Linked DNA regions of Callithrix jacchus. The protein of the gene in region 2 purifies or fractionates together with the protein of the main gene of each other region. This does not show direct contact. Links are inferred from orthologs where the notes say so. Each region holds a gene or a part of one and is shown on either strand. Other genes may lie near its edges.

What was found. Proteins that work in one complex are often made in the same cells at the same time.
Region 1: the proteins of RBBP7 (region 2) and SIN3A purify together in Homo sapiens (affinity purification with mass spectrometry; 8 studies listed by BioGRID and IntAct, counting the BioPlex papers as one, with this or other methods). This does not show direct contact. The link is inferred for Callithrix jacchus from reciprocal best matches to the Homo sapiens genes RBBP7 and SIN3A.

The regions. Positions count from the first base shown.
Region 1 is NC_133509.1:22,463,495-22,467,142, reverse strand, and holds part of SIN3A (paired amphipathic helix protein Sin3a), read right to left. Parts: intron 1,630-3,648; coding exon 1,391-1,629; intron 25-1,390; coding exon 1-24. UniProt on the Homo sapiens protein: Acts as a transcriptional repressor. Corepressor for REST. Interacts with MXI1 to repress MYC responsive genes and antagonize MYC oncogenic activities. Also interacts with MXD1-MAX heterodimers to repress transcription by tethering SIN3A to DNA.
Region 2 is NC_133524.1:17,126,276-17,130,552, reverse strand, and holds the start of RBBP7 (histone-binding protein RBBP7), read left to right. Parts: upstream 1-1,351; 5' UTR 1,352-1,573; coding exon 1,574-1,589; intron 1,590-2,395; coding exon 2,396-2,540; intron 2,541-4,277. UniProt on the Homo sapiens protein: Core histone-binding subunit that may target chromatin remodeling factors, histone acetyltransferases and histone deacetylases to their histone substrates in a manner that is regulated by nucleosomal DNA.

The DNA of each region.
Region 1 (3,648 bases), on a different chromosome or scaffold from region 2:
CATTCTTCCTCTTTCATCTTCAACCTAGTGAAGTGGGAAGGGATGGAAACAACATATGGGAATTCAGAGGGTTTAGAACAAAGAAATCTGCCAGGTTTACTTTATTTCAAGAAAAGTTAAAGCTATATTAGGTCTGTCAAAATTATTGGCAACTTAGGATGAATGTTATCAAATCTGTCTTGAACTCTGTTTCATGAGGAAATTACTCATCCAAGACTTATTTTGGGGAAATGATTTATCTCAGTCAAATAATTTCCCTAGAACAGTTACTTATCAAACAGCATTCCAAGGAATACCTTTGAGATTTAAGGAAGTCTTCCTTGAAAAAAACAGTTCTCTTCTTTTGCCAGCAAAAATAAAGTTAAACATGTTTCTTTGCTGCAGGATTTTGCAAAATGTTCACAATGCTAATGAAGACATAGAAGTCCAAGAGCAGAGAACGTGCACAGTAATGTTCCTCTGGATACAGTCTGGAAAGTTCTGACCAGAACTGATTTTAATAACCCAGAAGACAACAGACTAAGACCAAAAAAACAGCACTAAAATGGAAGAATAATCAACATCTCAAAAGCCAGAGTTAAATGTTACAGGCAAAAAGAAACCATCAATCTGTGCCAGCTCTTGAGGGAAAGATGAAGGACAAATAAAATCTGGGTATTTGTCAACAATGCAGCAAACAAGAATTAATTTTTACCAGATGATACTTAGAGAGAACCAAGCTCACAGCAAAGGATTCAGTGTGGTCAAGAATGACATAGGGCTGGGCATACTGTGGCCTGTGCTATAATCCCAGCACTTTGGGGAGGCCAAAGCAGGAGGATTGCTCGAGCCCAGGAGTTAGAGGTCAGCCTGGGAAACATAGCAAGACCCTGTCTGTATTTAACAAAATTAACAATTAGCTGGGTATGTGGTGGCGCAGGCCTGTAGTCCCAGATCCCTCCTACCCTGAGGTAGGAGGATCACTTGAGCCTGGGAAGTCAAGGCTGCAGTGAGCTGTGTTCACACCACTGCATTCCAGCCTGGGTCAAAAAGTGGAGACCTTGTCTCAAAAAAAAAAAAAAAAATTAATTAAAAATAAAAAAGATTTTAAGTTAATCCTGAGTGGCAGGAACATGGGTGGCAATTATCTTTTCTTTTCTGTATTTTAAAATACTCCCTCAAACATATACACAGAGCCTTCCACCATGAACCTACAAGATTTGTTCTCTAACGTTGGTCACAAAGAACCCCCAAAAGAAGTTCCACTCTGCATGTAAATTCCAACAACCAGGGCTGGGGAGAAAGAGCGGTCTCATGGGACAACCAGGTTGAAAACAAGAGCCTTATTTAGTGGGACACTGACACAGTAGTGAAGTACACTAAAGCACCGAGGGCACATTTGCTCAGGTACCTTTTAAGGACAATTGGGACAGCGATGGAAGGATTCTTTCTCAGACCATCAATGATGTCAGCTGCTTTATCAGCATATATCCTCTGGAGTGCTTTTCTATGGATGACTTCTGATGTGCCCCCAAGGGTGTTGTCCAAGCGAAATTTGGCTTGTTCCTCAGCAGACAAGCGGGAAAGCTTCTTCTGTATTGCTTCCAGAACCCGGATTGTTGCCAGATTGGTTTCTAAAACTACATCAAGCTGAAGAGGAAGACAAAGGTATGCTTAGGACCCAAATCAGAATAGAATATAGTGGTTAGACGAATAAGGTAGGGAGTTGAACTCCTTGGATTTGAATCCTGGTTCTGCCTTACTAGCTGCATAAGGCTGTTTCCTTACCAGTAAAATAGGGATAACAGCACCTATTACTCTAATAAGCTTCTTTTTGGATTAAATGATATAATCTACATAAAGTATTTAGCACAATGCATGGCACTTTAAGAACCATAGGACTGAGTCAGTAGTCTACAAAGCAGAAAAAAAAAAGAACCATAGGATTAAGTTGGATACATGGTAGTTATTACCTCCATCACCACCAGTGTGTGCCTTGCTTAGGACTACTGATCTTGCACCAGAGGAACCTAACAGGAGATGACTTTACTGATACGTTTCTCTGAACTTTCCTGAATTGCTAAGATCCATTATGAACAAACATCATCAAAACAATCCCAAAAGACCTCTGTCTTGAGAGTTTTTAGGTTTAACTTGAAATATTTAAATATATTCAAATACTTAAATATTCAATAGCCTTGTTCTGCATCCAGTAATAGTAAAAGCAGTGACTATCATACCCTAAGGAGTTTGCTGTTGCATCTGTGGGTAATCATTTAAATTCTTATTGAACTCCTGGCAACCTTTGATTCTAGTTTTTCCCTAGCATAAAATAAGGTTCTTTAAATGAGAAACAGAAAATGAAGTAAATGGGCCAGGTGCGGTGGCTCACGTCTGTAATCCGAGTACTTTGGGAGGCCAAGGTTGGTGGATTATGAGGTTAGGAGATTAAGACGATCCTGGCCAACATGGTAAAACCCATCTCAAAATACAAAAATTAGTTGGGCATGGTGGCGCGTGCCTGTAAATCCAGCTACTCGGGAGGCTGAGGCAGGAGAATCACTTGAACCTGGGAGGCAGAGGCGACAGTGAGCTGAGATCACACCACTGCACTCCAGCCTGGTGACAGAGCTAGACTCCGTATCAAAGAAGAAGAAAAAAAAGAAGTAAATGAGCAGTCTCAAGAACCTACAGCCAAATGTTTGCAGAATTGTTCCCTACGTTTTCTTGTTTTGAGACTCTGGTAGTCATTTTGTCAATAGTTCTGGCCCCTCTTGCTCTCCAAATACAGACAAAAAGGGACTAAATTTCCTGGCTCCCTTATGAATGAATAGGGTCATGTAACTAGTTCTGGCAAATGATTTGTTATGAGTTGAGTAAAAGTAATGTTTATTACTTCTAGGCTGGAGCATTTAAAGGTAAGAGATCTTTCTGGGCTTTCTTTTCCTTCTAGTAACTGGCAACATTCATGATGGTGGCAATCCCTTGGCCTGGGTCCCCTGTGATTCAGACACGCCAAATCCCCTGCTAAACACCAACGTACACGTAGAATGATTAGAAATTAAACCCAATGGTTTTACAAGTCACTCAAATGTGGGAATTGTCTGTACTGAAGCATTACTAACCTATTTATGATTGGTAAAGCATGTTCCTTCAAACTAGCCCACCCCATCAAATCTTAAACACATGGACACCCCACACTTCTTTCATCTTTGCCCTTGTAGTCACAAATGAGAAATGAGGCTGCCTCTCATTTGCAGGCATACCAGTTGAGAAAGGATGGGAACATTCTGTCAAAAACAGATGCCAAGCTCTCCTAACTCATCAGCTAACCCTACTAAATATAAATAACAAAGAAATGTCTTCTTTAGTTTGGTAATACTCCTATGGAAGTTAAAATCTGTCATGATTTAGTTTTCTGCAAATAGCTGCAACTCCTTATAAATGCTGGGGCAAAGATGGCCAACCACCTGCCAGTGGTGAGGCAGCATGTGGCTGTTCATTAAAAACACACCAGAAACAGCTGAAGCAAGTGTGACAAGGGAAAACTGGCAAAGAGCTAAGAGTATTAAAAAAAAAAAAAAAAAACACTAGCAAGATACCTGTCCACACAAATAAGCACAGCCAGTCAATTTAATGTAACAGACACACTAAATAGGATACATGTCA
Region 2 (4,277 bases):
TTGTATCGAAAACAAGACGATAAATATCTACAGAAGGGAATGTGACTGGTTCTGCCACTGACTAACGTCTGAATTTGCGTCCCGGTCAGAAAAGTGGGCAGGACAACAGCATCTGCAAGATAGCATCTGAGCATGAAGGCACTTGGAAAGGTATCAAGGCAGCAAATGTTCCGGGGGTGCTTTTGCAAGAGGAGCCTCTCTTGGAGCTGGACGTACACTTCGGTTCCCTTTGCACGCAGGCACCTTGGTCGCCTCCCCCAACTCCGTCCCCTCTGCTCCAGGCCCTCATTTTTCTCTCTCCATTCCCCTTTTGGCCTTTCAGCAAGCTTTCTCCTTCCCCACCCCCCGCCTCCTCAGGGGCTGCGAAGTTCCCTGGCAGAGCAGGGCTCAGGTAAGCAGGCCCAGGGCAGTTCAGCCCAGCTCTCCCCAGCTCCGCCAGCTTGGGGTGGGGTTGCTCTGGGACCCCTACAGGTGACAAAAATGACTCAGCAGGGGCCGGGACTGGGATGAGAAAGGAATGCCAGTGCAGTAACAAAATCCCCTGAAGCACGAAGAGGCCGCAAACCGTCATCTTAAGGACCCACATATCCAACAAATTAAAATGTAATTTATTGTAAATCGGGTTCAGCCCGCCGGCCGCCTGTGCCGCCACACGCTTCACATTTAGCCTAACAGGGCGGCCAGGCGGCTTTTGCAGGCAGAAAACGCCCGCGGCCTCTCCAAAAGGTCTCCTCCATCTGAGACCAGCCCCACTTCGGCCCGACCCGGCCCCAGGAAAGGCCAGTGGGCGGGAGGAGAACATCAGGGGTGCAGAGAATTGCATGTGCGTGATTATCAGGGAGACATTGAAGGCACAGTAATCTCTCGAGAACAGGAACCATTTTCCCCTCTTGCTCTGAGATTTTGCTTGGCTAAGCGGCGGCAGCCTCCCTGCCCCCTCTCGCCCCCACCACCGCTGCCGCTACAAGCAACCACGCCCCGCGGGCCCCAAGGCTCGCCGCCCCCGGGCGCGCTGCCCCCGCGGAGCCGACCAGCCGCGCCTCCATTCGCCCCGCCCCCGCACGCCCCCATCCGCCCCCGCGGCCGGCCCTGGGAGCGCCGGGCGAGCCCTCGCGCCTGCGCATCGCCAACTTCCTGCCGTGACACGCCCCGCCCACCCCCAGAAGCCCGCCTCCGAACGCCGCGTGAAACCCGCCCGCCGCACTTCATTGGTCGCGGCGCCAGAGCCGTTGGCTCCCAGACCCGCCTCTCCGCCTCCTCTCACTTTTCCCAGGGCGGATGCGCCTGCGCTCAGCTGCCTGGGCGGGCTGGGAGGCGCGGGTTGAAAAGTCTCGTTCCAAGTTTGGAGAGAGAGAGAAGAGCGCTTCAGACCTCGGTACCCGCGAGCGGGGAGGAGGCAGGAAAGAAGAACGCGGCGTCTGGGGAGCACCCAGGCCGCAAGACTGGGCCCGGGCTTTCGTGAGCGGGAAGTGCGTGACGCGCTTGGGAAAGGCAGGAGCGCCAGCGGTCGGGCTGCTCTTGGCTAACGAGGGGAGTCCGAGGCGGCGGCGAGGGGCGAACGACCCGACGCAAGATGGCGAGTAAAGAGAGTAAGAGGCCCTGCGGGGCGGCGCGCGCCGGGGCCGCGGGGGGCGGCGGGCCTGCGAGGCCGCGGCACGCGCCGGCGAAAGGCGCGAATTGGCGTGCGGAGCAGGGGGCGGGGCCGGGCGCGAGGCTGGGCGCGCGCCTCGTGGGGCCTGCGCGGGACGGGACCGCCGAGCCGAGGGCTCCGAGCACTTCCGGAACCGGGCGCGGGGCCGAGGGCTGGGCCCCCCTCCTCCCCTCCCTCCCTCCAGCGGCTTCGCTCCCTCCGGCGCCCTAGGCCCCGTGGCGGAGGCGGTCGCCGCTGCCTGGAAGCGAACACCGCGGCTCTTTACAGGCGCGCGCGTCGATCGCCTCGGGGTCGCGGCCCTTGTCCGGGGGTTGCTGGAGCCCTCCGGCCTATGGCGGCCGTCAGGACCTGGGGCCTCCCCTGATGGGGAATGAAGGGACTGGGCCTGTGGGCTTCTGCTACATGTACATTTGTCTCACCCAGTGGGTCGCGCAGCCCCTGTACATATAAGTCGTCATCTTAGAACAGGTGCGAACAGCTGTAGTAGGGTAAACAATTTCCATGTCCGCGTAATTGACTACCCAACATGGTATACGCAGGAGGTATTGATCTCAACTAAAAAAAATACGCTTCCTGGTTGTGTTAGTATTCTCTCCGCCTCCTGGAAGAGCGGTTAGTTGTCCGTGTCCAAATTAGAGGTAAAAAGAAAGCGTACATGAGGTGTGGCCATCTTGAGATGACCTCCAATTTCTGACTTCAGTCCATCTCAGGCACTTAATCGTGTGGGCTTTCTCCAAATTTCAGTGTTTGAAGATACTGTGGAGGAGCGTGTCATCAATGAAGAATATAAAATCTGGAAGAAGAATACACCGTTTCTATATGACCTGGTTATGACCCATGCTCTTCAGTGGCCCAGTCTTACAGTTCAGTGGCTTCCTGAAGTGACTAAGTAAGGGTTTCTGGCAACTTTTATTTTGCTTAAATTTAACTGTAGTTCTGAATTTCCTAGTTTTGACGTTTTATACATAGAACATAAGTATGTAATCAGCCCTTGCATGAGGTAGCAGGTGGTTTTTATTTTCAAAACTTACGTGATTTGTGGGATGATTTCTGGCATATACTGTGGCGTTAAAAGGGGAGAAAGAATCTGTTGTGAGATTAATAGTGTTTGGAGGAAATACTGAATGTATTTGACATTGCCTGGGCTTGAATGTAGAGCAGCATCTCTCTGGGCCCAAACTACTACATGTCTTTAAAACTTCATTGAAAAATAGAACATATACAGAAAAGTTCACACATTGTTAAGTGTATGGCTTGATAAATTTTTACAAAGTGAACACGTAAGAGGCACCCAAGATAAATACATTTTAATTGGTAAAGGGGAAAAGACCTTGTCAACAATTGACCAAAGAATGGGTATTATCGCCGCATGTTTTCACTCATAGGCGGGTATTGAACAATGACGAACACGGGGAGGGGAGCACCACACACTGGGGTCTGTTGCGGGGGAGGTGATGGGGAGGGATAACATGGGGAGAAATGCCAGATATCGGTGACAAGGGACGGAGGCAGCAAACCACCTTGCCATGTATGTACCTATGCAACAATCCTGCATGATCTGCGCATATACCCAAGAACCTAAAGTGCAATTTGAAAAAAAAAGGTGTTAATCAGCTTCTAATATGGAATCCACTTTGAGATTGCTGTTAGTCTTCATAAGAGTATTCTTTTCTGTTAGATCTACAGTTTCTCTGGTAATAATTGCTGGCATTTATTGAGCACTCAGAACAGGGCCTGGCACATCTGAAGAGTCTACATCCTATTGTAATTCTCATAATAGTACTGTGCTCTAGGTACTTTTCATCATCTTTGTTTTACTAATAAGGGAACTGGGACTGAGCGTTTAAGTGCTATCCCAGGATCACACAGCTGGTCCCTGCATTAGATTTCTCATTCACTTGCACTTTTCTAGTAGGAACTTGACCATGTACTTTTAAAGTGTATTAAATACGGAGCCAGGCACAGTGGCTTACTCCTGTAATCCTAGCGCTTTGGAAGGTTAGCTTGAGCCCAGGAGTTCAAGGCTGTAGTGAGAGCGAGAGACCCTGTCTCCCAAAGAAACAAAAAAAAAGTGTATTAAAATTGGGTGTTGTGGACATATAAGTTAAAGAATATTAAATTAAACTCTAACCTAAAAAGAGGATTTTGTAACAAGTTATAAAAATAATTTTTGGCCGGACGCAGTGGCTCACACCTGTTACCCTATCACTGGTAGGCTGAGGCAGGTGGATTGCCTGAGTTCAGGAGTTCAAAACCAGCCTGGGCAATGTGCTGAAATCCCGTCTCTACTAAAATACAAAAAAAAGAGGGCCAGGCGTGGTGGTGTGTGCCTGTAGTCCCGGCTACAGGGAGGCTGAGGCAGGAGAATTGCTTGAACCCGGGAGGCAGGGGTTGCAGTGAGCTGAGATCACACTACTGCACTCCAGCCTGGGCGACAGAGCAAGACTCCGTCTCTAAAATAATAATAATCATAATGAGCTAATTTTGTATAAAACTGCTCTTACAATGGCTAGGTTCTGCACGCAAACATTGATTTCCATACAGATAGGGACTTCCACTGGGCCTCCCAAAAATCTAAATGTAAATATGCGGATGTGGGAAGAGTAGAGAACTAAATGGTGAAGAC